Linked DNA regions of Kluyveromyces lactis. The protein of the gene in region 3 purifies or fractionates together with the protein of the main gene of each other region. This does not show direct contact. Links are inferred from orthologs where the notes say so. Each region holds a gene or a part of one and is shown on either strand. Other genes may lie near its edges. The genes, in order: MET18, KIN28, RAD3 and VMA1.

The links.
Region 1: the proteins of RAD3 (region 3) and MET18 purify together in Saccharomyces cerevisiae (affinity purification with mass spectrometry; 4 studies listed by BioGRID, with this or other methods). This does not show direct contact. The link is inferred for Kluyveromyces lactis from reciprocal best matches to the Saccharomyces cerevisiae genes RAD3 and MET18.
Region 2: the proteins of RAD3 (region 3) and KIN28 purify together in Saccharomyces cerevisiae (co-purification; 6 studies listed by BioGRID, with this or other methods). This does not show direct contact. The link is inferred for Kluyveromyces lactis from reciprocal best matches to the Saccharomyces cerevisiae genes RAD3 and KIN28.
Region 4: the proteins of RAD3 (region 3) and VMA1 purify together in Saccharomyces cerevisiae (affinity purification with mass spectrometry, with the first as the bait; 3 studies listed by BioGRID). This does not show direct contact. The link is inferred for Kluyveromyces lactis from reciprocal best matches to the Saccharomyces cerevisiae genes RAD3 and VMA1.

What each region holds. Positions count from the first base shown.
Region 1 is NC_006042.1:438,711-447,399, forward strand, and holds MET18 (Met18p), read right to left. Parts: upstream 5,486-8,689; coding exon 2,396-5,485; downstream 1-2,395. Other genes in the region: RSC chromatin remodeling complex ATPase subunit STH1, read right to left, coding at 1-973; RRT14 (Rrt14p), read left to right, coding at 1,628-2,233; TAO3 (Tao3p), read left to right, coding at 5,963-8,689. UniProt on the Saccharomyces cerevisiae protein: Key component of the cytosolic iron-sulfur protein assembly (CIA) machinery that mediates the incorporation of iron-sulfur cluster into apoproteins specifically involved in DNA metabolism and genomic integrity.
Region 2 is NC_006041.1:1,321,052-1,327,411, forward strand, and holds KIN28 (TFIIH complex serine/threonine-protein kinase subunit KIN28), read right to left. Parts: upstream 3,625-6,360; coding exon 2,692-3,624; downstream 1-2,691. Other genes in the region: MSS2 (Mss2p), read right to left, coding at 1-1,129; KLLA0_E14763g (NAD(P)/FAD-dependent oxidoreductase), read left to right, coding at 1,410-2,612; MRF1 (Mrf1p), read left to right, coding at 3,859-5,049; putative lipase ROG1, read left to right, coding at 5,283-6,360. UniProt on the Saccharomyces cerevisiae protein: Catalytic component of the TFIIK complex (KIN28-CCL1 dimer) which is the protein kinase component of transcription factor IIH (TFIIH) and phosphorylates the C-terminal domain of RNA polymerase II during transition from transcription to elongation after preinitiation complex (PIC) formation, thereby positively regulating transcription.
Region 3 is NC_006039.1:1,575,945-1,584,418, reverse strand, and holds RAD3 (TFIIH/NER complex ATP-dependent 5'-3' DNA helicase subunit RAD3), read right to left. Parts: upstream 7,097-8,474; coding exon 4,760-7,096; downstream 1-4,759. Other genes in the region: ATP-dependent RNA helicase BRR2, read left to right, coding at 1-4,667; adenylate kinase ADK2, read right to left, coding at 7,379-8,062. UniProt on the Saccharomyces cerevisiae protein: ATP-dependent 5'-3' DNA helicase.
Region 4 is NC_006042.1:525,691-534,299, reverse strand, and holds VMA1 (H(+)-transporting V1 sector ATPase subunit A), read right to left. Parts: upstream 5,029-8,609; coding exon 1,945-5,028; downstream 1-1,944. Other genes in the region: MRX19 (Mrx19p), read left to right, coding at 1-323; KLLA0_F05379g (uncharacterized protein), read right to left, coding at 5,685-6,407; phosphoprotein phosphatase 2A catalytic subunit PPH22, read left to right, coding at 7,295-8,377. UniProt on the Saccharomyces cerevisiae protein: Catalytic subunit of the V1 complex of vacuolar(H+)-ATPase (V-ATPase), a multisubunit enzyme composed of a peripheral complex (V1) that hydrolyzes ATP and a membrane integral complex (V0) that translocates protons.

The DNA.
Region 1 (8,689 bases), on a different chromosome or scaffold from region 3:
TATAAGGAGAGTCACGGAGAGATGGAATGATATTATGCGATTTAGCTGCAACACTTTCAATCAGCCTCTTTCTCAAAGATTTCTGTTTCGTTAGCATTTTCAAGGACTTGAGCTCCACCAAAGCTCTTAACTTGAAGTCGTCTGCGCCGGTAGGAATATCATCTTTAGTTACAAAATCAAGCGCATCATTTAAAGAATATGTTCCCAAATTAGAGGGTAGATTTTCAAGTTGTTTAATTCTTTTCGCAATGAGTGTGGAGATTATTTTTTCAACCTCCCAATCTCCAAGCGAGGCTTCATTTCCAGATTTAAGACGAAAGTTGCTTAAAGCTTCGGGAAGGCCTAAGCGCACACTTGTTTCGTCGAAATCAACAGAAAGTTTAACCTTCTCCAGTTGTACCGAGATATCAGAACTGTCGGAACTTACTGATTCATCATCATCATCCTCTAAGAGGCCATCCGGTATATTTATATCTTTACTCAAAAGCTGTAAGCTTACCATTTGCTCCTTCAACAACTTTTCGTCCCACTGAATATCTTTGGCTGCGTTTTCTCTTAACCTCAGCAGCCTTTCCTTGTACTCTTCCTGTTTATCCGAGATTTGGGTGAAAATTTGTTCAATAGCCTCAACTTCAAGCTTATTATGATCTCTATATTGAGAAATGTATCTGTAACGATAAATCAAATTTTCTAATTGTTCTTTCGTTTCAGGTAGTGGCAAGATTACTCTTTCCACCTTCTTCATTTCTTCTAGAACAGCGGCAATCTGGTTCTGTCCAATAGCACTACCACTGTCGTTCCGAAAATTGTTGTTGCTTCCTTTGTCAGCACCAACATGGTTGTCTTCGATATTGCCGTTAACGTCCTGGTTTTCAGTTTCGGAATTCCCATTATCAACATTCTCAGAATTCACTATAGGAAGCGGATAAGGAGGCGCTGTATCCGCGTTATTCGTTACGACGACTTGATCCATTGTTGTTTTATTTCACACTTCTTAACGTGATCCAGGTCTCTTCCCGCTAGTGAGCTTTAAACCTTTTTTATTCTGAAAGGGGGTAAAACAATAACTGAAGTCCTGCTAAAAAAATTCAGAGTTGTCACAAAGCTAACGCGATACAAACAGGTACTATTGCCCTAGAATTCTTTACTGTTTCGCTTTCGGTGCGTCTATTTTTTTAGCCGCCGTTGCCGTGTTGAAAACAAACCTCTGTTCGTCCTTTTCTCGTGTCAAAACTAAATTCAGAATAAAATCAAACTGTTTTCAAATTCATCCTCTTTTTCACAATTTTATTTATCGTGTTTACTTTTTTCTTTGACATTCACTATTGCCATGGGCCAAAGTACGGGTAACAACAACAAGAACCGGGTAATAAACCAACTTCGATCACGTGCCAAAATATTCGCATTAAAGTGGGCACCATTGTTTCTTTTCTTGTTTAATATTTCATGACCTAAAATGAAAATTTGGATAATACGCCATGGATGAGATGAGATGAGATTAGATGAGATGTGATGAGAGTGAACTATCAAGTTCCCCGATTGAGATAGTTACAGTGCTTCGAACTGTTACAAAAGTGTCTTCTGTATTGACAATCAAGGTTTGAAGAACTAAAATTCTCTGATTATAATGTCATCTCTTGCAGCTGCTCATGCTACCAACGCTGTGAACGCATTGTTGCAAAGCGTACTGCCGGGTTCTGCGTCGGTTAATGCAGAAAGAAAGAAAACAAGCCGAGACAAAGGCTCGAAAGCACAACTAATAGATAGGAACTTGAAGAAAAGAGTAGAGGTACAAGAAAAGGATGTATACCGGATCAAAAAGAGGGAGAAGAAAATGTTGAGAAAGAAGATATCTGGAAGAAAAGAAGTCCAAGAGGATATAGAACAGAAGGCTAAGCTACAAGTACTAAGAAAGCATCAAGTAGATAATTCTCTTACGGATCATGAGAAATCCTATTTGGATAAAGTGGTGAAGAAAAATGTTCGCAACCTGAAAAGTTGGGATTATGACGATAAGGAAGAACTGTTAGATTTACAGAAACAAATACTTGCCAACTCAGAAGATTCAAAGAAGGTAAGGAAGGTAAAATCTAGGAGACAAAAGAAGAAACAGTTCAAGGAGAAGCTACCACAATCGATACAAGACCACAGATATAAAGCTCTCACACCTGGATTGGCTCCAGTTGGTGCGAGCGATGAGGAGGAATCAGAAGACGAAGATGAAGATTATTGAGCTCATATTTACAAAGACGTACAGGTACGGAGTTTTCATTGCGGCTCATACAAAGGTGTGTTTTTTTCTCTCAGCATATGATCAAATACTCAGTAGACTCAAGTGTTCATTGTCGGTTCATATATATTAATTAAGTATATTCATTATTTGAAGGAAGTAGAACTACTCAAATGGTACCTGTCCTAATTCCAAATATGCCTGTTTTGTGTCTATGCATTGTTTGCGCACTCTACGCTTCGAGTCATCTAAACCAATTTGAAGTTTTGATATAATTTCATTCTTCATGGGGATCAAGTAGTTAAGGGGAACACTGGTTGTTAAAGTCTGAAGAATTTCTAATGACAGAAATCTTACGTTCACGTTACTATATTTCGATGGGACCAATAAGTTAAGTAACAGCGGAACTAACGAATGGACATGTTCAGTAACCAACTGAGACATTTGATTCACAGTATTTTTTAGTGTCTCTAGAGATGATATTCTGACTTCGATATTCTCTAGTTCAAGAGCCTGAAGAAGAAGAGGTAACAAGTCCGTGATATACGATATGGTGATATTTGATGGAGTATTCTTTAAAACTAAAGAAACTGCGGTAAGATAATTCGATTTAATGGTCATATTATCAGAAGATTTGAAGGCGTTTACCATTTTTTGTGCAATGTGATTGAAAAACTTCTGCTTGTAAATTAATCGAATATTGTTATTCCATGACACCTTTTTAAATCTTTGAAAAATTAGAAGGTCAAGAACTAAAACTTCAAAGAGGTGAGCAACCTTATTGCCAAACTTCTCGTCACTTAAAAGAGAAAATAGATGATCCGTCAATTTTGTTGCAAGAACTGAATTTTTCATGACCAAACCTTTGTTAATCCAGCATATTATTTCAAGATTCTTAATAGATGTGTCAGTTAGGTCCAGCACGCTTTCTATGTAAGATTCTGTAACCCATTTATTTGATAATAGCGCCAAGAACTCCAAGTAATTTAGAGATTCGAAAGTTGGGAGAGCTTCATTATTCTTAATGAGTTCAATGGCTTTTGAAAATATATCATTCGCGGCTTCAAAAGATGTATTCTTATCCAAAGCTGCCAAAAGCCTGGAGTAAATCACAATAGATCTTTGAGCAGAATCAAAAATTCTTTCTTCATCCAAGAAACATTTATTATAGGTAATAAGTTCACTTTGATGGGTTGAGACATCAGATTTTATGTTAAGCTGAAATAAAACTCCAGCCGCAAGGCTCAAGGAGTGGTCATCAAGGTATATCATATCATTTTTCAAAGAGTTTTGTAAAAATGTCTCTTCCATCGATTCCTTCAAGAATTGCACAACGTTCTGGTCGAATTCATCAATGTTATTCTGCAAAAGGGAAAAAAGACATGACAAAATCAAAAAACAATAATCGCTGCAATTTGGATGCATTACAATGAGGTTTAATTTCGAAGCAAGACCAACAATACTTTCTTTGACCAAATGGTGCCTTGAAGTAGTGAAATCGAGAATGACCTTCAAAACTCGCTCTATTGGGACTATATCAGTGTTATTCAATGTGATTGGAACCATGTTTTCATTATCAGGAAGTAGATGTAACATGTACTTCAAAGAGACTTCATAAATAATGGATTCATTGAACACACTGATAAACTTGAGACCCTCCAAGCATGCGCAGTATATATTCTTATTCTCGTCAGTCAAAATTGTTTCGGTGAAATATTGGACAATCATCGCTATTTCCTCGCTATCCAAAAAACCTGACATTTTAACTAGTGTGGTGAATTGTATGATAGCAAGCGTCCTCAGGGTAACTTCATTTTTGGATGTACCAGTTAATGCCTTGCTGAAAACCATTAATATGCTGTCTTTGTGATTTTGTAATTCATTCTTAGCATGGAATTTGGAAATCTCTTTACCGGTCTCGCCAAAGAGTGAAATATAAGCGCTAAAAAATGGCGCCAAATTGAGAATCAAGAGTTTCTGTTTAGAAGCATCTAAGTCTTTATCCATGAAAAGCACTGGAATCACTTTTTTCATGACTTTATTAAATGTTTGCAAGCTCACTTTAGAAATTGAAGCGAGCAGGTCACAACACTGTTTTAAATCCTTATCTTGTTCAAAATTTGGAACAAACTCATCAAATATATGATTAAAAAATTTATCAAATGCATGTTCATCTAGTGCGATGAGTTTCGAAGATAATGAAGTTATAATAGAGAGCGAATCCGAGTAGTTACTAATATTTCCTTCTGGTCTCGAGTTTTGGTTTTCTGTATCCATTGCAGTATCGAGGATTGAAGGTTCCGGGTCTGTGCCATTTAAAATTTCAAACTTTAGGGCATCCCAAATTGGCAGCCAGTGTTTCAAAGATGATGTTCCACTGAATGTATCCACACATGCTTTGAGGGTCAGTATAGTATCATTTTTAACAGTTGGTGACGATGCTGCCAATTTATCTAAGAGGTTCCCAAAAGCATCCTCCTCAAACTTTTCCGTGGCAGTGATGGCACTTCTCAAGGCTAGTTTCAAATCATTATTGGTAATTTTGTATGGATCATTACTTGGGGGTTTGAACATGATTGGGAAGTAGCAGAATAATATATCAAATAATTCCTCCTTGAAACTGTCAATGTTGCGTAAACCGGTGCTAATATCAGAATTCAAACGGAAAGATATGAGAAGATTTCTAGGATCTTTCTCACCAGTTGCAACAAGAATAAAAGTTTCGATATATAAGTCATTCAATTTGAGATTGCCCAACATCTGGGATTTGAATTTGATAAGTATATTATCCATAATCCTGAATCCGAAATATCTAGTCGCAGCCAAAAAGTTAGTAGGTTGATAGTCATTTCCTAAAAGTTTTAACAGCTTTTCGACGTGACTAACGTAAAAACAGTCCATTAGTACTAATGAGTTGATCCCTTGTAGTGTTTCTTTCATGCAGCCTGAATCTTCCATCTTACTTTGGTAGAAATCGAATATCACTGAAACATCATTCTTCTTTAGTACCGCTGGTGAAATGTGTTCCAATATACAAGATAAACAGCTCAATGCATTTTGTCTGGTGCTATCGTCATCAGAGGTTAAGTACTCTCGTAAAAATATTACAATTCGTAACAATTCAATGCTCTTTCGAGTTACCTCATCAGCGATCGTATTGGCCAATTTGTCTGCCACAGAAGTATTAACCTTTGCATTAGCCATAAAACTGACAATGTCTGCTTTCAATTTATCTTCTGTATAGTCTGTCGCCATTATGGTACGATATAAATATTTTACAGTGATAGGGCGGTCTTCAATGACAAGTTTATCGAATGCTAAAGCACTAAATAACTCGTTGAGTTCTTACTCGTTCTTGTTGACTAAGGTTGGGTTTTATTCCACATTACGATTTTGATATGTGCAATGCTTCCGATTAGGCTTAATTATTTGATTACCCGGAACACTCCGTATCATGTGACCAGATCAAGAATAACAATTCAGTGAAGTTAACAGTAGGAGATGACGATGAAATGATCTGCATAAGGGAGTGGAAGAAAGAATTGCTGTCTACGCGGTAAGAGATCGTTATTCATAATTGATCGTGTTCCCAAGGTTTATGGAATACGAGAATTTGGGTTGAATTGTGCTTTTATCAAAAGGCCTATTGTCACGAAAATTCGCTTTCCAATTGTTTTAAATCATAATAAGAAAGGTCCAATACTGCCAGATATCCACAACTTACAATTGGACATGAACTCTGGGTTTATGTTTCCTCCAGTGGGGAAAGAAAACAGGGCACATGGTACCTTACTTTCTGATGATATGGGTAATGATTTTAAGTTTCCAAGTGAGAATGTGAACCAAGTAGAGGTTGAAAAGCAACAACAGTATCCTTCCACCCAGATTGACCAGGGGGCTGTGCAACATAGCAATACAGATTATCCTCAACAGACACTGAATATCATAGACATTCCACCGGTAGATCCTAATGGTGTGACCCCAGAACAATTCCATATCAATGCATTGCAATTGAACAAGCCGGGAGATAACCTGTCGAACAAAATTACAAACAATATAAATTACAGCATCAACGAGGTATCTCAGCAACCAAGACCTGATCCTGCATCTGCTAATAGTACATCCTCATTCCCCGATGAATACGTTGCCGGATTAAGACAGAAATCGGCAACTGACTGGAAAAGTCCGTCTGAATACGCATTACACATTCTTTTCACAAAGTTCGTAAGATTTGCCGAGATGAAGCTTAATATATGTTTACAATATCCGAGAGAGACGGAACCTCCAATTATAGAAATTTTAGGAGAAGGCAAGGATATAGAATTTGACAAAATTATAGAATCGTTGGGTTTCATTTCCAAGAAAAATGCGAAACCGGTAATAGATGCAATGATGTTTTGGAGGAAGACAAAGTCTGAAGTAGCTGCTTTAGCAGCGGAAAAACTGGATAAAATCATGCAAGAATATGAGCAGTATGTGAAGAATAATGAGCAAGTTCTGGCAGCTAGTCGAACTCACTCAAAATCATCTAGCTCAGCTAGCAGCAGGTTGACACATAGAAGAAATACCTCATCAAAGTCCTCTACAAGCCTGAATTCTCATTCAGATCCCAAATTTGCATCATTAGAGAACCAGGTAGAGAGAACAAAAGAAATGGCTTTCCAGGCCGATAGAAAATCTCTTATTACCATTTATATTTTGTGTCGTGTTTTGATCGAGATTGTCAAGCAGAATCCTATGGACTTTGATGATGAGTTAAGTACGAAGCTTGAAGGTATCGTTTTCACACAATTGAAGACTACCGATCCATCATCACTGTCTTCAACGCTAATTAAATCAGCAAATTGGAACTCGTTCGCGGAATTATTAGGCTGGATGAGTGAAAAAAAGTTTATCTCTGTCAGTGATAAATTTATAGCAGATCTCGAAAAAATCCCTCCCAAAGTTCCCCGTGATCAAGAGCCCTCTGTGCACCTTTTAATCCTAGGAATGCGTTATTTGAGGCTTAAAAACTATCCTCTAGAAATGTTTGAGGAAAGTGCAGGGTTCATCAAATCTATTTCGAAGTTCTTTGCTCCGTCCCAAAACACTTCTATTCGTTTGGCTTATGCTGAAGTACTAAGTCAACTTTTATTGCCGTTGGCTGGAGCAATGACAGCAGAGGCTAATCATCCAACGTGGATAGAAGCAATGACGTCGATCCTAGCTACCTGTAAAAAACTTCAAACTGACAGCAAATGCTGGACACTTGCTTTCAAGTTGACCGTGGCAGTGTTGTGTGTCTCAGATACTGAATTGTTTTCCAAAAACTGGTTATCTTTGATCGAGAAGAACGTTACCAAAATTAAATCTAAGTCATTAGAAGATCGTGTTGCTTTCTCCATGGGCCTTTCAAGGTTGATATGGGTCTATCTTTTCAGATGTACTGAAACCTTAAACAATACAGACAAAACGTTGACAAAATTGTTCTCGTTATTTTTGAGTTCAAAGAAGAAGGAGAACTGGATCACGACAGATATGGATATCATAAACCCTCTATGTGATGTTTTCGTGACTGTGGGATACGTTCATCCTACCTTCGTATTTGAAAATGTTCTTCTACATTTGATGAAATCCTCCTTTAATGGGACGAATTTAGAGAATATTGCACATGAAAAATTGATACTAGTCATCAATACTTATAGAGGATTACTTATGACTAAAGAAAGGCCTATATTCCCTGATGGAGAACGCAGGTTCTATGAAGTTGACTTGAATAAGATATCGGTACATTCTTCGGATAAAAATTGGGCCAATCATGAGGAACTTGTGAAGTATTTGTACAAACTTTTCATGTTACTTGATTCTAATATAGGATCAGAGGTGTGGTCACCGGAAAATGAACACCGTCGCCAACCTTCCACACCTTTCTCAAATATCACAAATTTTGGTTTCGGAATCAATAATGATAACAGTGCAAATTATGCACGAAGCCTGAATATGGCACTTTTTGCAACCCTTATTGAGGTTTTGCCCTGCTGTTTGTCAGTGTCTCAAAGCATTCCATTCAAATCTACGATTGAAATTCTATCCAGGAATGCTGTCCACGCAGATCAGCTGATTGCGACAAGTGCCCAAAATGCATTGAAAGTATTAGCTGCCAAAAAGAATCCCTACACCCTAATAACTTGGTTCGCTAAATACTCATTTGATTTCGATGAAAAGACACAATCAAGGTATAGCTTGTATTATCTTTCTTCCGCAGAATACAGAACATTGCTTGCACTATACGTCGAATTGCTTGAATGCTGGCTCGAAGATTTTACTAAGAACGACATCCAACAATCAGAATCAGATGCCGCTCTCAATGGAATGAAACTGCCCCCCAAAACTTTGGAAGCGAATTATCATGAATTAGAGAAAATTGAATGGAAAAATACCCAAACTGTCGTGGAAGATGTCGAAGGCAACGGTTTATTC
Region 2 (6,360 bases), on a different chromosome or scaffold from region 3:
ATGTATTTGATTTTGATACCTTAACTGTGGTGTCACCAGGAGTTAAACTTTGCCAAGTATTTATGGAAGCATTTGGGCTATACTCTTTAATTTTTTGAATATCTGATGCTCTATGGGAGCTGAAATCCTCAAAGAGTCGATTTACATCTTGATTGTTTTCAGCAAGCTTTTCCATACTTTCATAACATCTCTTAGCCAGCAATAATTCATTATTTTTCATTGTACAATCGAAATAGCCAACGAAACATTCAGTATCATAGAGTTCCATTCCCAACTTAAACCATTCCTGAGCTTTGGGGTAATTCTTGAAGTAATTCATTTCGAGCAACCCTAGTGTTCTAAATGATTCCTTGAAGCCTTGGGTGGCACTGCTTTCAATTAAGTACCTGGCTTTAAATATATCGTTATTCACATACATTTGTCCTAACAAAAAGTACGATCGTACCGAGTAATCAATAGGACAAAGTTTGATTGATTTTAAGAAACATTTCTCTGCTTCAATAAGATTCGGTTTTCTAAAGTGGATCTGGCCCAATTGACCGTATACTTCTCCAGCTAAGAAAGTATCATTCTGTAAATCCAAAAATTTCATATAGTACACTTCGGCAGTAGCATCGTCATGGTTCTTCAGAGCTATATCAGCAGTTAGTTTGACGGTTAAAGGGTGATTCATTTGATAGAGGTTCTTAATCAATTTCTTTGCATGAGATACGTCATCTTCAGTATTACTGTCTGGATCCTTTAGAACATCAAAACATAAGAGCGATATAGCATCATTGTCTCCGATCTCAGCAGCCCTATCCAACAAAACATTCTCCAAGGCTAATAGGTTCTTGTTGATAGCTTTAGTCTTATGCCTCACTTTCTCAAGAACTTTTTTCATTATCATTAAGTCTTTCCCTTTGATGCTATTGGGTATATCAACATCATTACCAGTGTCTAGTCCCTCATAAAGCTTCTCATACATAGGATATAGCTTATTGTATGCAAGCCGACTATCGAGCTCAAACAATATCCTGCTAACCATCTTCTTTTGTGGGAAGATCTCATGCAATGGTGGCCGTTTGTTGGCTAAACTGGAAATCAGTCTCCTGCTTGATACCAAGATACAGCTTCTAAAACCAAGCATCTCGAACAAAAACAGTTTTAGCTCTCGGGTATATCAGAAGATTCGAATAAAGCCTGGAAGATCTCACAAAAGCCTAACGTTCTGCTTAATCCTGTAGGTCTGCCTTTGATCCATTTGTGCGTAAGAACTTGATGATGTATTTGGTTTTGATCCTTTCCTGGTTAAAATTCGAGTTTCTATAAAATGATTCTTTACCAACCGTTACACATAATCGGATAAGGTCCGATTATTTAAGTTAAAGGCATGAAAGTAGGTGTCAATACACAATCAATATCTATCAATGGTGCTAAAATTCCAAGCTAATTGTCGCTCTTTGATTCGACCATTGTTTTCACGTTTTTATTCGGCTCCTGTTGATTATTCGCATGCTGTTATCGGTGCAGGTGTAGTCGGACTGGCTATTGCCAACGAACTTACCAAAGTCCCAGGCAATAAAGTGATTGTTTTGGAGAAGAATGCAAAGATTGGCCAAGAAACTTCGAGCCGTAATAGTGAGGTGATTCATGCTGGTTTGTATTACCCAGTAGATTCGTTAAAAACGAAGTTTTGTATTGAAGGAAACCATATCATATACAATGAATTGAATCCCAGGAAGACTGGTGTCGATTGGCTGAAATGTGGTAAGTGGGTTGTGGCACAAACTGATTTCGAAGATGCATATGTTGAACGTATGTACTATAAAGCGAAATATGAGTTAAATCTTCCAGTAGAAATTTTGCCCAGTCACAAGACTCAATGGCAAGAGCCAGCTGTAATAGTCGAAAGAAGTGCACTTGTATCTCCAACCACGGGTATCATCGACTCACATTCTTTGATAGAATACCTCTCTGCTATGGTTGATAACCAGGGGGGTGATACTGTGATTGGATCTGAAGTTAAGGATATTCAATTTTTAGGATCTAGCTACGCTCTCCAATGCGTGGAAACGCTGAATGGTACTGCAGAAGAAGTCGAGATTCGTGTAGAAAATGTTATCAACGCTGCTGGATTATATGCAGACAAGATTGCTAATATGATCTTACCACCTGAACGTCAGGTAAAGCAATATTATGCCAAGGGCAATTATTTCACTTCGAAGACTCAAGTTCCAGCTGTGAGAAGATTGATCTATCCTGTGCCTCCCAGAAATGGCAAATCATTGGGAACTCATTTGACCATTGATTTAAATCATCAAGTGAGATTCGGTCCTGATCTTGAATATGTTGACTCTGCGGATGATCTGATCCCAAACCCGCTGAATATTGAAGACGCTGCCAAAACCATCACAAGATATTTCCCTCATCTGCAACCAGGTGAATTAGAGGCTTCATACTGCGGTATCAGGCCTAAATTAGCAGCACCAGGTGACACAGAATTCAAAGATTTCTATATTAAAGAAGAAGAAGGATTCCCGGGGTTTGTTAACCTGCTAGGTATCGAATCTCCAGGTTTAACGTCAAGTATCCCAATCGGGAGATACGTGAAGAAGATACTTCACGGTTAGGAATAACAGATAACATGCAATAATGAACTTTTTTTTCGTACATATCCTCGTATTCTATTCAAAATATATCTAGGTATTTTCATTTATTGAGCTTAGGAAGATCTTGTGGAAGTGTAGGCTCCGGCAATTCCTGGAAATATTGACTTTGTAGACACTTGACTGCATCCCATCTCTTTTTAGGGTTCATTATCATCATCCCACTTATCAGTTCAAGTGCATTTTCCGTAGCCGCTATGAATCTTCTTCTCAATTCCTCTCTCGATGGAGGTGGATATATTTGAATCTTATTATAATTGCTAAAACTAGAAACTTCAGGCCAATCCGCATCAGTAGGAGTTCCTAACGCACGGAATGTTACGTTTATCTGATCAACATCATCTTTCCCCGGCAAATAAGGAATTCTCAACATTAATTCTGCGAATATAACACCGACAGACCAGATATCGACCGCAGAGGTGTAGTGTTTTGCACCAAATAAGAGCTCCGGTGCTCTGTACCATCTGGTAACAACGTTACTGGTCAAAATCTCCTGTGGTGACGCCATTAGTCTGGCTAGACCAAAATCTGCGATTTTCAATTGACCATCAGGTGCTAATAGTAAATTATTTGGCTTCAAATCTCTATGAAGTATGAAGTTTCTATGACAATGGTGTACACCTCTCAAAGTCATTAGAATCCAGGACTTAATATCTGCTGGACTGAACATAATAGAAGTGTCCTTAATAATGATCTCCAAGTCGGCAGGTAGAAACTCCAACACTAAATTCAAATTATCGTTTGCCATGAAAACGTCTACTAATTCAATAACATTCACATGCTTCAACTCTTGTAGAAACTTCACTTCACGTAATGCTGACATGTCAAGTCCATCTTTGAACTGTGAGGTCTTGATCTCCTTCACCGCAATACTCCTTCCAGTGGACTTCTTAGTTCCCAAATAAACCACGGCATACGTACCTTCACCAGCCTTTTTCTCCTTAGTATAGTCATCAACAGTAGATTTTAGGGTCATGGTTTATAACTTCGAGCTCTACCGTATGACAGAATCAGTTCCCAGATCCAACGATGACTTTAAACATCAAATGTCTATCTGCATGTTGGCAGAAGCTTGGACCTTTCTATATTAAATATGAAAAATCTTTGAAAGTTTGATACATATTATGCTATGTAAAGGAAGAAGTGTATGGTGAATCAAAACGAAGTACCATCGGATCTTCAGAGTTAAAAACTACATTCGATTGGGGAAATGATCTCAAAATTGTTTGGAAGAGGAAAGTTCTTTCGAAACGTGGCTCTTCAAGTCAGATTTAACAGTTCTGAAGCCGTCGAATTTCGACCATTGCACTCATCGCTAATATCAAGAGCAGAGCTGTATGTCAATGAATTGCGAGAGTTAGAGGACCTGTTGTCGCAGGGTGGATCCTTCGATCTTGAGAAACAGAAGAATTTTGCCAAACTATCTACGATTGTGGATTCGTATTCCAAATACAGAGAAGAAGTCAATCAGTATAAAGAACTACAGGAGATACTGGAATTAGATCCATCATTACGAGAAGAAGCCGAAGCAGACATAGCAGCACTACTCCCAGATTTGAACAAGACAGGGGACTCTTTATTGAATAAACTCCTACCGCCTCATCCTTTTGCAGATAAACCCAGTATATTAGAACTAAGGCCTGGTGTCGGTGGTTCTGAAGCTATGATATTCACTCAAGATCTGTTGAACATGTACATTAACTATGCAAATTATCATAAATGGAAATGGAACCTAATATCAAAAACTGAGAACGCAAGCGGTAGCGGAGTCCTGGAAGCAATCTTGAATATAGATGAACCAGGTTCTTATGATAAATTGAAATTCGAAGCCGGAGTTCATCGTGTTCAAAGAGTGCCTGCCACAGAATCAAAGGGAAGAACTCATACTTCCACTGCGGCCGTCATTGTGCTACCCAAAATGGGTGAAGAAAGTGAATCTGATGCATACGAGAGGACTTTCAAGCCAGATGAGATTCGTATCGATGTCATGAGAGCCAGTGGTAAAGGTGGGCAGCATGTCAACACTACAGATTCTGCTGTCAGGTTGACACATTATCCATCAGGCATTGTGATTTCAATGCAGGAAGAAAGGTCTCAACACAGAAACAAAGCCAAAGCCTTTGCTATCCTACGAGCAAGGTTGGCCGAAAAGGAAAGGCTTGAGAAAGAGGAGAAAGAGAGGAATGCAAGGAAAGATCAAGTTTCCACGACAGACAGATCTGACAAGATCAGAACTTATAATTACCCACAGAATAGAATCACGGACCATAGATGTGGCTTCACACTATATGATATCGAGGGGGTCATGAAGGGTGAGAGGCTAGATGATGTAATTGATGCTATGGACGCGTTTAGTTCTGAGCAGAAGGCTAAGCAATTACTTCAGGACATGTCAGCTTGATCAAATATTCAGTTGGAAACACCGTTCTGCGCCAGGGAATGATAATTGGATTTACACTGTAAATAGTATAAAATAAAGTTGCATATATGTATAGAAGAAAGCACCCTGAACATCAATCTAGTGTGAAACCTCACTCGAGGGTACGTATTGGTGTATAGTGTGTTGCTGTTTCTCACCCAGTTCTTTATACGAACCATTATACGATTTTTGACTGGAGAAATTGAAGTGTCAAAATGCAAAGTATGCTTAGATACATAATCCCTTCAACGATGAGACAAAATGCAAAGCACCAACGGGATCAGTGGTTAAAAATGACTGCATCAGATCATGATATCATGTACCATTTCCAGTCGTCGTTGCGAATAGGGGAGCTAGAGCGATATATTTTCACTTATGACCTTTATATGGGAGATGAGATACCCAGTGATTTAACGTTGGATTCATTGTGGTTGAAGATCAAAAACATTGAAAACGTGACGCTCAGGGCAGCGTATTTGATGGGGCCCTACGTGTTGTACGCGGATGTGCGAACGAAGGATTACCACCACAAACAAAGATTATTCATTTCTGCTGATCAACCTCAGTTTGAGTCTAATATTCAACCGCAACAGGATTTTATTGCGGAGCTTTCATTGCACAACTTGAAGAAACGGTACGTATGGATTGTTGACATTGCAAGCCAAATCTTATTTACCAAACAGGCATCGATAAACTTTTCTATCACCGTAGGTGGTAGTAAGGAATCAATAAGTGTGGACTCAGCAAGAAATATCCAGTTGGGGGTACAGAGTTCAAGAATGAAAGTGGATAGACTGACTACCGCAGATCTTTGGAATGCATCGTTGCTTTCAAAGAGTGTTTTTGGTAGGCGAAAAGAGCATCTCGTCATTCTTACGCATGGCTTACACTCTAACGTTACGTCGGATTTATTTTATATCAAGGAACAGATTGAGAAGACTCAAAACCAACATGAGGAAATGCTAGTTGTGAAAGGATTCACCGACAATGTATGCAAGACAGAGAAAGGCATAAAATGGCTAGGGACCCGGTTGGCCGAACATATAGTTCATAACCTATACAATGATGCTACTGTAAAAATTTCATTCATTGGACATTCATTAGGCGGATTGGTTCAATCCTTCGCAATTGCTTATATCTCTTACAACTATCCAAAGTTTTTTGAACAGGTTGAACCTGTAAACTTCATAACAATGGCATCTCCCATGCTTGGGATTGTTAGTGACAACGCAGTTTATATCCAGCGGCTATTGGCAATGGGTATTGCCGGTAAGACGGGACAGGATCTCAGCC
Region 3 (8,474 bases):
CCCAACTCTTAGTAGCAACTCCGGAAAAATGGGATGTAATCACAAGAAAATCAACAGACACTAGCTTTCACAAACTCGTACGTTTGATCATCATAGATGAGGTCCATTTATTACATGATGAAAGAGGTCCGGTCATTGAATCAATAGTAGCAAGGGTTCTACGGGACACAACGGCAGAAATTCCTACGAGGCTTGTTGCACTTTCTGCCACTTTACCAAACTACATTGACGTGGCCAAGTTCCTTCATGTTCCTGATAATGGCTTATTTTATTTTGATTCAACTTTCAGGCCATGTCCTTTAGCACAACAGTATTGTGGCATCACTGAGAAAAATGCTTTAAAGAAGAAGAATGCCATGAACCAGGCATGCTATGATAAATTATTGGAGGCCGCAAAAGAAGGACACCAAGTTATCATTTTCGTTCATTCGAGAAAGGATACTGCTAGAACTGCTAGGTGGCTTATTCAAAAACTTATAAATGAAGATAAAATAAGTGCGTTCCAAGGTACCGATAAAGGTTCCTTGGAAATCCTCAAGACAGAATCCAGTAATGCTACTGATAGATCGCTCTCCGACCTTATACCTTATGGATTCGGTATCCATCATGCAGGCCTTACAAAGGATGATAGATCTTTATCCGAAGACCTTTTTGCTGATGGTTTGCTAAAAGTTCTTGTTTCCACAGCAACTTTAGCATGGGGTGTTAACCTTCCTGCCCACACTGTCATAATTAAAGGTACAGAAATGTATTCACCGGAGAAAAGTGATTGGGTCATGCTTCCCCCACAAGATATCCTTCAAATGTTAGGAAGAGCTGGTAGGCCGAGATACGACGTAAATGGTGAAGGGATCATTATTACAAACCAATCAGACGTACGTTATTATCTCGCTGTGTTGAACCAACAACTCCCTATAGAATCTCAAATGATTTCAAAAGTTGTTGATAATCTTAATGCTGAAATAGTTCTAGGTAACGTCACCTCACTAGATGAAGCAGTTAACTGGTTGGGTTATTCCTATTTATCAGTACGGATGAAGCAATCACCTCATTTATACAACTTGCAAGGTTCTTCAGGAGACATGAGTGATGCTGAGCTCATAAGAGTCAACAGAAATATTGTGCATACGGCGTTGAATTTATTACAGAATAACGGTCTTGTAAACTATGACTCTCTTTCTAAGTCGGTACAACCAACTGAGCTAGGTAGAATATCCTCTCATTTCTACATAAGTTATTCGTCAATTGCAAAATACAACCGGGAGTTAACAATAAACAGCACTTTGATCGACATTCTGAGAATATTTGCTATGTCAGAAGAGTTTAAGAACATTACCGTAAGACAAGAAGAGAAAACTGAATTAGAGAAACTCGTCGAGCGTTGTCCAATTCCGATCAAGGAGAAGGCTACTGATTCATTAGCCAAGGCAAACATTCTACTTCAGGTGTACATTTCAAAATTACGATTGGAGGGGTTCGCTTTAAATGCGGATATGATTTACATTTCTCAGAGCGCAGGTAGACTTTTCAGAGCACTCTTCGAAATGTGCTTAAGAAAAGGATGGCCAAGACTAACCAAGCTTCTGCTTACCATCTGTAAATGCGTCGATAGCAGAATGTGGCCCACGAACTCACCATTTAGGCAATTCAAGAGATGCCCTCAAGAAATCATAAGACGAGCAGAAGCGTCTGGTTTACCCTGGAACGATTTCTTACTGTTGAAGAATGCTCATGAGGTAGGCGAAGCCTTAAGATCTCCAAAAAATGGTAAAGTTGCTTTCGATTTGCTTCAAAGATTCCCGAAGATTGGCATTCACTGCGCAATGCAGCCAGTTACAAATTCACTACTTCGTTTTGAGTTGGAACTCCAACCTACATGGATCTGGGATCTGGATTCCAGCAGCTATTCTGAAACATTCCTTGTTCTTGTCGAAGACACAGACGGTGAACAAACAATTTATCATGAGACATTGCATGTTGGGAGAAATGCAATAAACAGCATTGTGTATCTTGACTTTGTTGTATTTTTGAAGCAGAAAATGTTACCGCCGAACTATTTTGTATCCGTTATATCAGAAAAATGGCTAAACTGTGAGTACAAGATTCCTGTTATTTTGAGTGAAATAAAATTACCTAAACCATTCCCTCCTGCAATATCTGTTTCTGATTCAATTAAGAAAAGTACCAAGGAACTACAAATTGATGAATTTGAGGCGTTATACAATTTCCATTCTTTCAATAAAGTTCAAACTGAAGTTTTCGATACATTATACCATGAAACTGAAAACGCACTAATATGTGCAACAAAAGGTTCCGGTAAAACAATAATGGCAGAACTTTCATTATTGAACCATTGGAGAGAAGGCAGAGGACGTGCGATTTACATTTGTCCATTCAAAACCAAGATAACTGAACTTCTAAAGAATTGGAAAAAGCGATTCTCACATTTGGCTGGTGGAAAACTGATCAATGCTTTTTCTGGAAATTTGCAGCACGATCAAAAACAATTAGCCCAATCTCATCTAATATTAGCTACTCCGAATGAATTTGAATACCTGTCTCGTCGCTGGCCGGAAAGAAAAAACATTCAAAGAATAGAACTAATTATTTGTGATGACATCCATGAAATAGGCAACGAGATAATTGGACCGATGTATGAAATCATAATTACGAGAATGATTTTCATTGCAACACAATTGGAGAAGAATATAAGGATTGTGGGGCTTGGAACCCCACTTGCCAACGCAAAGGATTTCGGAGAATGGTTAGGTGCAAAAAAATCAAGTATTTTCAATTTTACTGCTTTAGAAAGGCAAACACCCTTGACAGTCGATATCGAAACTAGCATTTTAGTAAAAAGCCCTACTTCTAATCGAATGGCCCTAACTGAGATCGTTGAAAGTAGTAATCGTGTCGCCTCACCCGATGAAACTATAACAGTTTTCGTCACTGACAGATATGAATGCGTTTCTTTCGCGACAGAACTCGTTGGTCTCGCTGTTGCTAAAGGCATTGATCTTCTTAGAGCAGAGGAATCCAGTTTACACTCGTATCTCAACAAGGTCCAGGACAGCAACCTCAAGACACTGTTGCAAAGTGGTATAGGAATTCTATACCAAGGTATGCATTATTCCGATAGGAATGTAGTCCGTAAGCTCCATGAATACAAGGTGATATCGATTTTGGTTGCAAGTAGGGATTGTTGTTTTGATGCCCCTTCATCAAGTTTTGTCTTTGTTACTACAACTCAATATTTTGAAGGCAGGGAGAACAGATACATCGATTATCCTGTAAATACTATTCTTGAGATGATGGGAACAGCGTTTACGGCGTCAAATAAACAGCAAGCACATGCAAAACTAATCACCACAATGCAAAGGAAGGAATACTATAAAAAATTCCTTTGTGATGGGTTACCAACGGAGAGTTCTCTGCCATACCATGTTATTGATTTACTTACAACGGAGTTTGCAAACCAAACATTAGAAACCAAGCAAGACTGTATCGACCTTTTAACTTACACTTATCTATATCGTAGAATACATGCAAATCCAAGTTTCTACGGTATTCAAGATGTGACTGCAGACGAAATTTCCTCCTATTTAACAGAATTAGTAGAGGAAGCAGTAACAACCATGAAGGAAACCGAGCTTATATCAGTTGAAGGGGAAGCGAACGATTCCACAGAAATTGCAGAGGAGGTAATTTCCCCGAATAATGCCTGTCTTATTTCTGCTATCCATGCCGTAAGTTGTTTAACGATATGCAATTTTAGCCGAGCAGCATCAAGATCACTAAGAATGAGCGGTATTCTTGAAATTTTGTCTTCAAGTGAAGAGTTTAAGACATTGCCTCTTAGATTACATGATATAAAGCCATTAAGAAAATTATACGACATTTCACCTTTGAAGTTGTCCTCCGAATTCGATCCACGCTCCACAACAGCCAAGGTTTTTGTGTTATTGCAGGCCCATTTTTCAGGTCTTCATTTACCCATGGACTTATCACTTGATTTGTCTGAAATCCTTTCAAAAGCACCTAGCTTAGCAGGAACAATGGTAGATATATTGTCAATGAACGGTTATTTGAATGCCACTACTGCTATGGATTTAAGTCAAATGATTGTTCAAGGTGTGTGGGATACTGATTCACCTTTGAAACAAATTCCATTCTTTGATACAGACATCTTGGAGAAATGCAAAAACCATAATGTAGAAACAGTTTATGACGTGATGGCTTTAGAGGATGAAGAAAGAGAAGATATCATCACTTTACCGGAAAATAAGTTGAATAAAGTCGCAGAATTTGTCAACAGTTATCCAAACATTGAGTTGAAGTATGCTCTAGATATGTCAGCACCGATGAAACCTCACGACAAAAAAATGGTTACTGTAACAGTAAGTAGAGATGAAGAACCAGAAACACTAAATGTTAGCTCAAAGTCGTTGCCACATGAAAAAACTGAAGCATGGTGGATATTCATCGGTGAAAAGAGCTCCAGGCAGCTATATGCTATCAGGAAGATCGCGCTTACAAAAATGACCCAGGACTACGAATTGGAAATCGAATTGGAAGATCCTGGTGATCATGAACTAACAATATGGTGTGTATGTGATTCTTACTTGGATGCCGATAAGGAAGTAACATTTAATGTTAACATCGCATAGTAAATGCATAAATAAAAAGAAAGTACTGTATATATGCAGTGAATATAAATTAAAATAAAATTCTTTCTATAAGCAGAGTAGAATCCCTTTATCTAATCCTTCATTTCAATGTCCCCGTCATTATCCTTGACTTCTGTCACATCCGAATCAACAAACCCGTTATGTTGCTTTTTCTTAACACTTTCTTGGTGCGCCAGTAACTGTGCATGACTCCACACAGATACACCTTCTTGATCTTTTGGATCAGTTGGTTGTGCCATGGTTCGCAAAAATTGCTTAGTATTGGCGATAGCCATATCCGTGGACAAGTTCATGTCGGCATCAGATAAACCTTGTGCAATCCATTTTGGTAGTTGACTTTTCTTCCTTGCAAATCTACGGTCTGCCAACACCATTACACCGTAGTCATCTTTACCACGTAAAACTCTACCTAAGCATTGAGCTGCATGTCTCATTGCATCAAAAGATAAAAAGTCATTCTCTCGGATCTGGTAATTCTCACGTAAGAACTCTAGTCTTGCCTTAAGAATACGAGATTCTGTATACTGGAACGGAATGCCGATCATGAGTACAGTTCTTCCGTACTGATGGTCAAAATCGATACCCTCAGACACTTTACCACGCGCAACTGACAAAAGAATGGCTCCTCGTCCGTTAGAACAGGCCTTACGGTATGTTTCCAATGCTAAAGCAGTTTCTTGTGCATCGGGAGTTTCCACTAAGATCAATTTGTATTTCCAAACCTCATCTAGAATACCCATAGTTTGCCACATTGAAATAATGGATTCCATGTATAAATAAGATGGGAAAAAAACGACCAAACCATCGGGTGTGATTTTGGCAAATTCAACCAACATCGAACCATAGTTACGAACAATGGAAGGATCATTTCTAATTTCGAATCTAGATGATATTGCCACTTGATCAGAACCCTTTGTTAAAATCATTGGCAAGAATGATTTTTTCGCTAAAGTCATCGAATAAGATTGTTGTAATACAGTTTCGAAATTTAACATCTTAGGGTACATATCCAACGGGGATATGGTACCCGAAGTGATAATAACCGATGAGAATCGTTCGAAGATAGGTTTAATTGCAATCGATGCGTCAAGACAAGTAAATCTAACGATTGGATTGGGCACTGCCGCATTTTCGATTTCATACGGTTCTATAATCAAGAGGAACCCATCCTCATAAGTAGAAATCAAAGTAGCAAAAGTTGCAATGTCTTTCAAAGCGTTAAATTCTTCCACTTCCTCGACTTCAAGGGTCCTAACCAATAACGACAATCTTTCTGAACAAAATCGTAAAGGTTTCCTTTCTATAAATGTCAATTGTTTGAGATGAAGGAGGAAAGAGTTTGGTGTCTCCGATATGACATGTAAAACCTTCATTCTAGTCTTCAAATATTCGATAAATCTTTTCAAAAATGAAATGAAATGTGTAGCTCTTCTTATATTCCCAGGAATTGCCTCCTTCAATATATCATTTGACAAAACTGGTGTTTCCACCAACGGCTCTTCTTCGGGTTCCAAGATATCCGATGCTCTTAACCCGTGAACCAACTTTTCATATTCATCTTGTAATTTCTGTGAATCCACTTTCTTCATCTCTTCGACTTTCCGATCCAGGGCATTAGCACCTTTAGTGGCCTTCTTTAATAGATCCTTGGTCAAATCTAGGGAAAGAGATTCAATGCAAACATTATCTATATTATGGGCCTCGTCGAAAATCACAATAGCATCTTTACTGACCTCTTTCGACACACGCTCTGCAATCTTGGGATCCAATAGATAATGGTAAGAGTAAATGATAATATTACACATCGAAATCATACGACGTACAGTGAAATAAGGACACATCCGTTTCTCCTCACAAAACCGAATCAATCTTTCAAATGAAAACACACCTGGAGGCAAATAATCTGCCACATCGTAATTATACATATTTTCATGGTAATCACATAACTCTACGTTAGCATCCGGATTCTCTTCCTTTTTCTTCCTCGCTTGCCCATTTGTCATCCGTCGACATTTCTCATCCACAACGTTACCTTTCCTTTCCTTACTAACCCTGGGGTGAAGACACAAGTTCTTTCTACTGGTGAGCCCCAACCCACGGAAATCTTCCACAAAGCCAAGCTCTTTAGATCGATAATCCATCAAAGATTCTAATTCCACTAACGCCTTTTCGATTTCAGACATGGTACGAGAACAATAAATAATCTTCCTATGCTCAGGATAATGCATTTGATACGCCACTGTCAAAGAAAGTAACGAAACAGTCTTACCGGTCCCAGACGGCATCTCTAATATGCTATTCCCACCAGCATCCAAGGTTTTCTTTATATCACACATATACTGATATTGTTCAGGATATATCTTAGGATATGGGAACAGAACGGGCAAATCATCGATGTAAAACTTCATTATACTGCTAGAACCTGTATTCGAGATACCCGCTGTTGGGTTCAAGACACAAATCAAGAAGAATCTACACTATCAACTCTCTTCAAACCTTATATTCAACGCTTTAGAAGCTTTAGTGATTCTTTAAAAGATTTTTTTTTCATGTTGAGCATAGTAGTCTGTAAGTATGTATGATTAAGTAAGATATGGGAAGGTAAACCATTTTTAACTAATTGAATGGCACTGGCTCCTGGTCGTGCCTTGTTTCTATTTACATGTTTATCGTGGTTAAGAGCGAGAGTATTAGTTTGCGAATTTTTGTAGGATTAGCGATACTAGTTTCGGGTATATAATGTCACTAGTGTTACCGGAAATGGTTGACAGAATACCTTGCTTCAAGTAATGTTCCTTCAATGGGGTCACTGTCTTGTTGTACTGTTCTAGCCTCTTGCCAAACACCTCTGCAGTATCGTCGGGTCTCTTGGTCAAAGGTTCACCGGTGATATCGTCCTTTCCGTCGACTTTGGGAGGGTTATATTGCAAATTATAAACTCTTCCACTTGGAACGTGAACGTAACGGTTTTCGATTCTCTCCAAGATCACTTCATGAGGCACGTCTAGCTCCACGACAAGGTTTAATGAGGCATCGTGTTCCAACAATGACTTGTCTAACACTTCAGCTTGACCCACGGTACGTGGGAACCCATCTAGTAACCAAGTAGCATTTGGATTTAACCAGCCACGTGACTTCAATTCGTCACACACAACTCCGGTGATCAAATCATCGGGTAACAACTGGCCTTTCTCAATATACGAGGAGGCACTTAAACCTAACGGTGTGCCATGTTCAATCTGTTTACGTAGCAAATCTCCAGATGAGATAGCCTTGATGGATCCGAATTCTTTCAACAGTTTCGAGGTCTGAGTACCTTTACCAGAACCGGGTGCACCCAGTAGTAACAATCTTAATGGTCTGAGAACTGACATGGCGGGGACAATTGGTATTATAACAGTCTAGCTAGCTGTCGGAGACTCGTCAAATGGACAAGTTAAGTATACAGAGACTGAACAGAAGTGATGTTACTCATCGTTAAGTGACTTGATTGGATAGTTCAATGATTAAGTGGTCAAATGATTACGGAAAAAGGGCAAAAGGCCGGGTAACAAAGTGGGTTAAAGACAAGATACGGCTAAATATCGGTCAATTCCTCATGTATCAGCGATTTAGAGCTTGTGAAGGGCCAGTAGATCATCTATAAACCCTTTGTGGGCGTTATGGCTATATATGAGGTCTCTGCGGTTGAGAGTGCTGTCTGTACTGTCTTTTAATCGCATCCCCAGTTTCCGGTCCCCAGAAATGGGCCCGAAAACTCTCCCCAAAACACCAGTTTCGCGTTTT
Region 4 (8,609 bases), on a different chromosome or scaffold from region 3:
CTTTACCATTGATTCTAATACCTGTGGTTCCCAACGTACCAGGAATATATTTAACTTACAGATTATATTGCAATTTGAAGGCATATTTCGGAGCCAAACATTTGGAGTCATTAATCACTAGCGAGGAACAAAAGTTCGAGTTTATCAACCTGGAACAGTATTCTGACATTTTAAAGGAAAGCAAGAAGGAAAAGCATGAATCCGATGGAGAAAAGTTATTACTTTCGGAACATGATTTAGACAGAGTCTTAGATAGTTTAGAAATTCATGAGATGTCAACTGATTTAAGAAAAGCAATACGACAAGAGTCCGTCCACAAATGAAACTAGTGATGCGTCATATATGATTATATGATGATATATTTATATATATTTATAGTGCATTCACATAGGAAATAAATAACCGAAGTGACAAAGGGACATGACCGAATAATATGCCAAACATGCTAGACATCCGAAGAACTTAGGACTGCTTACACCCATACACCAGTTAAACACCCTTACACCCAAATTTGGTCAATCGGACAATCAAAGAGTTTATTATAATACCGAAATAGGAAATCGAATACCCAACCCAAAGCTTCAAGATATAAGGGTTGGCCCTGATAAATCACTTACATACCAAAAGAGGCACCAATAACAAGCCAATAAGATCCAAAGATCACCACCACTGACTGCAGATTGACCGTTTTGACTATAAGGTTTTTTTACGGCTTCGAAATGAGGCTATTTTGACCTGTTTTACGTACTTAACCTGTGTGCCCTCATTTGCTTTAACATGTATATTGTTACCCGCACTGAAACTCCTTGCTCACCCGCTTTCCATACACAACCGTAGAGAATTGCTCACTTTTTTTTGAGTGAAAAATTACCACCAAACATAATATTTGCAAAAAAAAACCTTGGTAAGGATTTGGTACAAATTAAATATGGATGCTTTCTTCCTAACACTTTGATTTTTTGAAGAGAATTCCAAAATCATATATATATTCACTGGTTCTAATTTAGTTTATTCTTGTTGCAGTTGTATTTATGTAATTTGTTATATATATTCTCTTTTGATTCTCAGAAAGTCAAGAACTTAGAAACCTATTTCATCACCGAAATGCGTGCTAAGTGGAGAAAGAAGAGAGTTAGAAGACTTAAGAGAAAGAGACGGAAGGTGAGAGCTAGATCCAAATAAGCGGACTGAATCAATAAACTAGGGAAAGAACTTTTCTCATTACGAGATAATTGCAAAGATTTAGTTGCGCAATGGCGAGTGCATTGAACAATGCTCTTATGCTGTTGGTTTCTATTTAATTGTGATTATGGTTTTTCCTGCCTTTTTAACGTTTATGATTTCTCATCTAGTCTCTATAATAAATCCGTTGCAAATTGTGATATATTGGGTTTGGAAAGGTTTTGAATGGAAAATAAGAACTATTCTAAAGTGATTTTCTCATAGCCCCCTTTCCTAATTATTATTGGTATTGTTGGTGCTATTGTGATCCTAATTTTCTCTAGGATGTCTTTTTTCGTCAACGTTTTAAATCAATTCACTAGGCGTTCAATTGTCAGATTGTATTAAGCTCAATTGATTTCAATCAATTACTGTCTTCATCCATACTTGGCTTTGAAAGCGTAGAATACGTGTATGGTAAAAAATAGTTAAGTATTTCTTCTATTATGTATTAATTCAATATTTCAAGTCCGCTTTTTCAAATGCTACTTTATTAATTTTTATACATAGTTGTGACCTTACAGGTCGGACTGTTCGTCTTCAGTATCAAGATGTGGTTAAAATAAAGTACTTTATTAATTAATTAGTTCTTTTTTGATGATAATCTCAAACATTGAATTGTTTTCTTTGTTTAAGAATTTCTATGTTATATAGGGTGTAAAAGGTGAAACAAAGTAAGGATGGGGTGCGGTCGGAACCATAAGAAAATTTACTTAGGTTTGATCAATCGGTTGATTCAGCAAATCTATCTTGAATATTGGTCAACAATTTCTCGAATTCTGCATGAACTTCCTCTTCACCTCTACTTGGTTCAAAAAATTTCGATGAAGAGACAGCATGCTTGACATCACGCGTTGCTTCAGATAGCTTTGCCCAGTTAGCACCGTTTGATACAGATTTTTGAGCTTCATCGTGGTAAGAGATGAATGATTTCATCATATCATAAGTCTTCCAAATTGGACAGAATGCATCGTAGGTAGAGTAACCATTTTGTTGTAAGAAATCTTCTTTGATCAAAGAAGCAATATCTAAGGTAATCTTATCACCATCGGATAAAGCAGATTTACCGACCAATTGGACAACTTGTTCAAGTTCTTCAGCGTTCGAAAGGATTTCCTTCATACGATCTCTCAACACTGGGAATTCTGGATAGTTCTTTTCGTAGTATTTGTTCAAGACATTTGTATATTTGGAATAAGAAACAGAAGTATTGATGGATGGGAAATGCTTTCTTTGAGCCAACTTTTTGTCCAAACCCCAAAACACTTGAGTGATACCAAGAGTTGATGTAGTAACAGGATCGGAGAAATCACCACCGGCTGGGGAAACAGCGGCAACAATAGAAACGGAACCAATACGGTCTGGAGAACCTAAAGCAACAGCCTTACCAGCTCTTTCGTAAAAGGAGGCCAACTTAGCACCCAAGTATGCTGGGAAACCTTGATCAGCAGGCATTTCACCTAAACGACCTGAAATTTCTCTCAAAGCTTCAGCCCATCTAGAAGACGAATCGGCAATCATAGAAACGTTCTTACCTTGATCTCTGAAGTATTCAGCCAATGTAATACCAGTGTAAATGGAGGCCTCTCTAGCAGCGACAGGCATATTAGAAGTGTTTGCAACTAATGTGGTACGTTTCATGATAGGTTCCTTTCTACCACTAATTTCTGTGAATAATTCAGGGAATTCCATCAAAACTTCAGCCATTTCGTTACCTCTTTCACCACAGTTGTGAACCAAAGTCATGTTTGATAGTAAGAATTTGTGGTCTGATTCTTCAGCTAAAGTGACACCAAAATAATCAGCAGACTCAATTTTTTCTAAATCGAAAGAGATAGGTTGAGCCTTATGAATTACATCAACCTTTTCGATGTTCGAAGTGGAGGTCCAATTTGAAACACTCTTCAAAGCATCACCTGAAAGAGTCAATGTGTATTCTTGGTTTTGTTTCTTACCGGAAACGCGGATACCTAAAGAACGCGCCAATCTCGCAATACCGTCATGTGTCTTGACTGATAGTGTTTTTAGAGCGACTGTGTCATCTAGCTTTTGGTTTTGAGAGTCTACAATACCTGCCAAGAAACTTTCACGAACATTGATGTTTTCGGACATCATGAACGATGGGATGCCGCTAGAGAAAGATTCTTGAACGATCTTGGAGACAAGACTGACTTGAGCGACCTTTCTGCGTTTATTTTCTTGAACTGGCTCTTGAGAAATAACAATGCTAGCAGTGCCAACGGTCTTCCCATTAGATTGCACATCGATAGACTTTTCGGCAACAATCTTTTTATCGAATTGAGCAGACAGTTGTTGAAGATATTCTGAGTTGTCCTTACCGGAGGAGCCAACGAAAGCACCCAACAGATACGAAAATTGTGGAGCCAAAGAAGATTGGAAATCGTTTGATTTTAAGACGCCTGCTAAGTGTTCCTTCTCCAACAACACAGGGTTTATCAACTGTTGAGTTACTTCACGGATGGAAGAGTCTACCAACAACATATCCCTGGCCTCCAAAGTCCATTCAATGGATGTCGTGTCAATAGTAGTGACAAATTCAGCAGCATTTATGATAGCTTGATTACTTTCAGCATTAGCAAAAGATTTTTCAGCTCTTTCAACTAGTCTAACAGTGCGTGATTCAGTACCATTTCCCACTGAAATGTCTGCCAATCTGTTGAATGCAACGGTAACCTTTTCCTTAGACTCTGTTAGTCTTATATCTTGTGGAGTGACAAGAACTAGCTTGTGTGAGCTGTTACATTGGAAACTAATCTTGGCGGTTTCATTGTCCTCTGATTTTTCGGTAACTTGGTACATGTCATCATGACCTCTTGGTAAGCCAACAACTTGTCTTGGAAGTCCATCTCTACCCATTACTTCATCGCCTACCTGAATGTTCTCTATCAATTCATCCTTACCGTCACCCATCATTACTTCAGTGCCCTTAGAGAAACAACCAACGTAAATGATTGCATCAGAGTTGGAGTACTTAGACAATGATTGAGAAATAACAGTCTTACCACAACCAAAAGCACCTGGAATACAGGTGGTACCACCTTGAACACATGGGAACAAAGAGTCCAAGACTCTTTGACCGGTGAGTAAAGGATAGTCAGCAGAGAGCTTTTCGGTGACAGGTCTTGGAACACGCACTGGCCATGTGTGATACATGGAGTAATCGTATTTGACACCGTCAAATTCCAATTCTAGAATCTTTTCATCAACGGTGTATTCACCAGCGGAAGCAATCCATGTAACAGTACCTCTTGCTCTTGGTGGCAACAAGATCTTGTGGTCATCCAAAAGAGAGTTTTCGAAAATGGAACCGAAAATATCACCACCTGAGATATGGTCGCCTACTTTGAACTTGCCAGGAGTAAATTGCCATTTGATAGTTCTACTCAAAGCTGGAGCATCAATACCTCTTGGAATATAGATAGATTGAGAGATATCCTTAATGGCCTTCAATGGTCTTTGAATACCATCATAAATTGTCTCCATCAAACCTGGACCCAATTCGACAGATAATGGTTTACCAGTTCTTAAAACAGGGTCACCAACAGTAACACCTGTAGTTTCTTCATACACTTGGATTGTAGCCTTTTCACCATCAATACGAATGACTTCACCCACCAAGTTGTCATGACCAACTTTAACCAATTCGTACATGGCACATCCAATCATGTTTTCTGCAATCACCACAGGACCAGAAACAGAGTAAATAGCACCATATTCACTCTCCTCATGGTCTTCAAGGGTTACTCTTTTCAATTCCTTACGTGCGTTTTCCAATGCACCTGCCATTTTTGATATCTGTAGTTCTAAACTTGCACGCCCTAATAACTTCTTTAAATTAGCTAATTAATCAACCAATCAATCAATTACTCTTAATTGAAAACGTTATTAACTGTAAGAAAGAAAGAAAGAAAAATAATAGAGGAAGATACCCACGTAATGTTAGGTACAAATCTCAATGTCAATTGTTCCGAGGATATTATTATCTTAAGGTCAGTATCGATGAACTAGTTAATGAACGTTGTTCTACAGGATTTATTTCAATACTCAAACCACGCGCTCATTCATATAATGGTTTCCTTTTAAGTTCAAATTCTTAATTTCAATCTTTTTTCATACTAGTGTTATCAGCACAGTTTGCCCCTTATCAATTCTATCAGGGTAACTTTTCAGAATTTGAAAAGTCAACGATGAAAAATTGAAATACAACAAGGTGAAAGAATATGAACCGTTTGATCTTTTTAGTATTAATCGCCATCTGTTACCAATTGTATTTAAAGGTGCCTGAGATCGATACTTACTGATTATAAATATTAGCCTAAATTCCTTTGAACTTTTTAATCTTGCGTTTTTTTCCAGTTTTCTAAACTGTTTCATTGTCTATGAAAGTTAATCACATGGTTCGTCTTTTTTTTTGACGCGCGTCAGTTTTATACGAATCTCACTCAAGTAAAACATAACCAACTGGAGCAAGAGAAGGATGCATCTTGAGAAGCCTGCGTCATTTGTCTAGAGTTTGTTACATTGTTGTTGTTTTGCTGTTGTTGTGAATGTGGTAGGTAGTACTGTGGAATTGGGTAGTGATACGTGTACTGACTATTTATCGTCATATCATCTGTTCTTGCTGGTAATTTCAACGTTACGGGTACGGCTTTTGCAGTCATTGACGTTGTTGCATTGTATTCATCGATAATGTTGGAACGGTAGGTGTCAATACGTTCAGTAGTAAATGCTTTGTCTTTGTAATTCCAAATTTCGGTATTGCCCAAGTCAAGCCCATCTAAATCTTCTTCTTCATCCTCTTGTGTATCATTGATACTATTTCTCTGCATTCTTGTCGAAAATGCATCTCTTATCTGGGACCACGTTTGTGACATTGAAATAGGTTCCTGTTGGTATGGATGAGTGCCCTCGATTACTTGTACTGTGCCAAGATGCGAGGATGCTGGTCGTTTCCATCGAACTAATTGATCCTCCATCCGGCCCATTAATTGGTTATCCACAGGGAAAACACGAGTATGTTGTTTAGAAATAACCAACTCCCTAACAGATTTTTCAGAATGGTGCAAGTTTTGACCCTGAGATTTTTCTGCATGTTGCGCATCACCTTGTAACAGGCTTTGATCGAATACCCACCGACTATTGCTAAGATCTAAAGTCTCCGTCATTGTTTGTAACCTTTGGGGGATTTGAAAGACCACCGAACGTAATCGTTCACTTATAACAAGTGAAATGTATTTCAATGATACAGTCTCGAATCCACAGAAGGAGCCATGTTCAGTTTATATCTAAATCCAAGAATCGCTGACATCTGTGTGACACAGGAACTGATATATAGTTACCCTACCGCCTTCAACGGAAGAATATTACATACTACAAAGGGAACCCAGCCTTCCCTGTGGAAGTAAAAGTAAAACAATGATGTTTTCAGACAGCTTACTTTCAACTGATACAGTCGTGCGTGATGCTCTTGTCTTTGAGACCCTAAAATTGGCCGCTTAAGTAATATGGAAGTATCGCCCTCTCGCCAGATCTCCCGTTCTGTAACTATCTGTGTTCCGATCTTCCCTACACAGTATGGAAGAGCAAAAAAAATGCCATACAAAAAAGGAAGAAAGATAGGAAGAAAAAAGTATATACAAAGTATACGTACTCTTTACGAAATTGTTAGCGATACCAGGTTCAGTTAACGGTAGAATCTCACTAAACTTTCATTTATATCAACCACTTCTGAGGCCAAGTGATTTTTTGAGCCGGAACAATTTGAACTCAGTTGTGTCCTATCTAATACAACGTCGTCCTCTGTGAGTGCGTTGTTGTTCTCTGTTGATTTAATTTTTTTTCCCTACTTTCTTTCTCCCAATATTTTGAGAAATTAGGAAAAGAAGGTTATAAATAATAATTGAAGAAAGAACGGACCATTTGGAAGTGTTTGGCAAAGGCGTTTGACAAAGCGTGCATATAGACTGGAGTAAACCCTTATTTGTTACTAATATACCAGCGGCTAGAATAAAAGAGTTGGGTTAACACATTCAAAACATTACTGCATTACATAATGGATGTTGATACTGATGTGCCTATGCATGACGCAGTAGAAGATCAACTGGATTCAACTTTAGACGAAGAAGCTCCAGGTTTTGATAACGGATTGGCGAGTTCGTCTCCAGGTACGTCAGGAATAGCTGACAATAAGGCTACGAAACCCGTGGAACTGACTGGGTCTAGTATCGGTCAATTGGATGCATGGTTAGAAAAGTTGAGTCAATGTCAATGTTTGTCGGAGGAAGATGTTGCCAAGTTGTGTAAGATGGCGGTTGATGTGCTTCAATTTGAGGACAACGTTCAACCTGTGTCCGTCCCCGTGACGATATGTGGTGACGTTCATGGACAATTCCACGATTTGATAGAATTATTCAAGATCGGTGGACCTTGTCCCGATACAAATTACTTGTTCATGGGTGATTATGTCGATAGAGGTTATTATTCTGTAGAGACTGTTTCATATTTGGTTGCACTAAAAGTCCGTTACCCAAGCAGAATTACAATTCTAAGAGGTAATCATGAGTCTAGGCAGATTACACAAGTGTACGGGTTTTATGATGAGTGTCTAAGGAAATACGGTAGCGCTAACGTTTGGAAAATGTTTACTGATTTGTTTGATTATTTCCCAATTACCGCACTAGTGGATAACAAGATCTTCTGTCTACATGGTGGCCTTTCACCAATGATCGAAACGGTTGATCAAGTCAGAGAACTAAATAGAATACAAGAGGTTCCTCATGAAGGTCCAATGTGTGATCTATTATGGTCAGACCCGGATGATAGAGGTGGCTGGGGTATAAGTCCAAGAGGTGCAGGTTTCACGTTTGGTCAAGACATTAGTGAGCAATTCAATCATACAAACGATCTCTCATTGATTGCGAGAGCACATCAATTGGTTATGGAAGGATATGCTTGGTCTCATCAACAAAGTGTTGTTACCATATTCAGCGCTCCAAACTACTGTTATAGATGTGGTAATCAAGCAGCAATCATGGAAGTTGACGATACGATGAATAGACAGTTCTTACAGTATAATCCATCCGTAAGACCCGGTGAACCAACCGTAAGTAGAAAGACTCCGGATTATTTCTTGTAATTCACTGGGATCTTATCTATCAGGAAAAGATTGTTTCATAGGTTATAGGTATTCTACGAAATGTTGCCATCCCGCCTATGTTCCTCACTAGCAATATCATTTTTTGGAACGTACACGGAGACATGATCTAAATGCTCGTAATGTGGTATCACTGAATACATAACGTCTGTTATAATAAATATATATCATCAATACTATTAATTACATCGATTCGGGTTTTTTTCGATCAGAA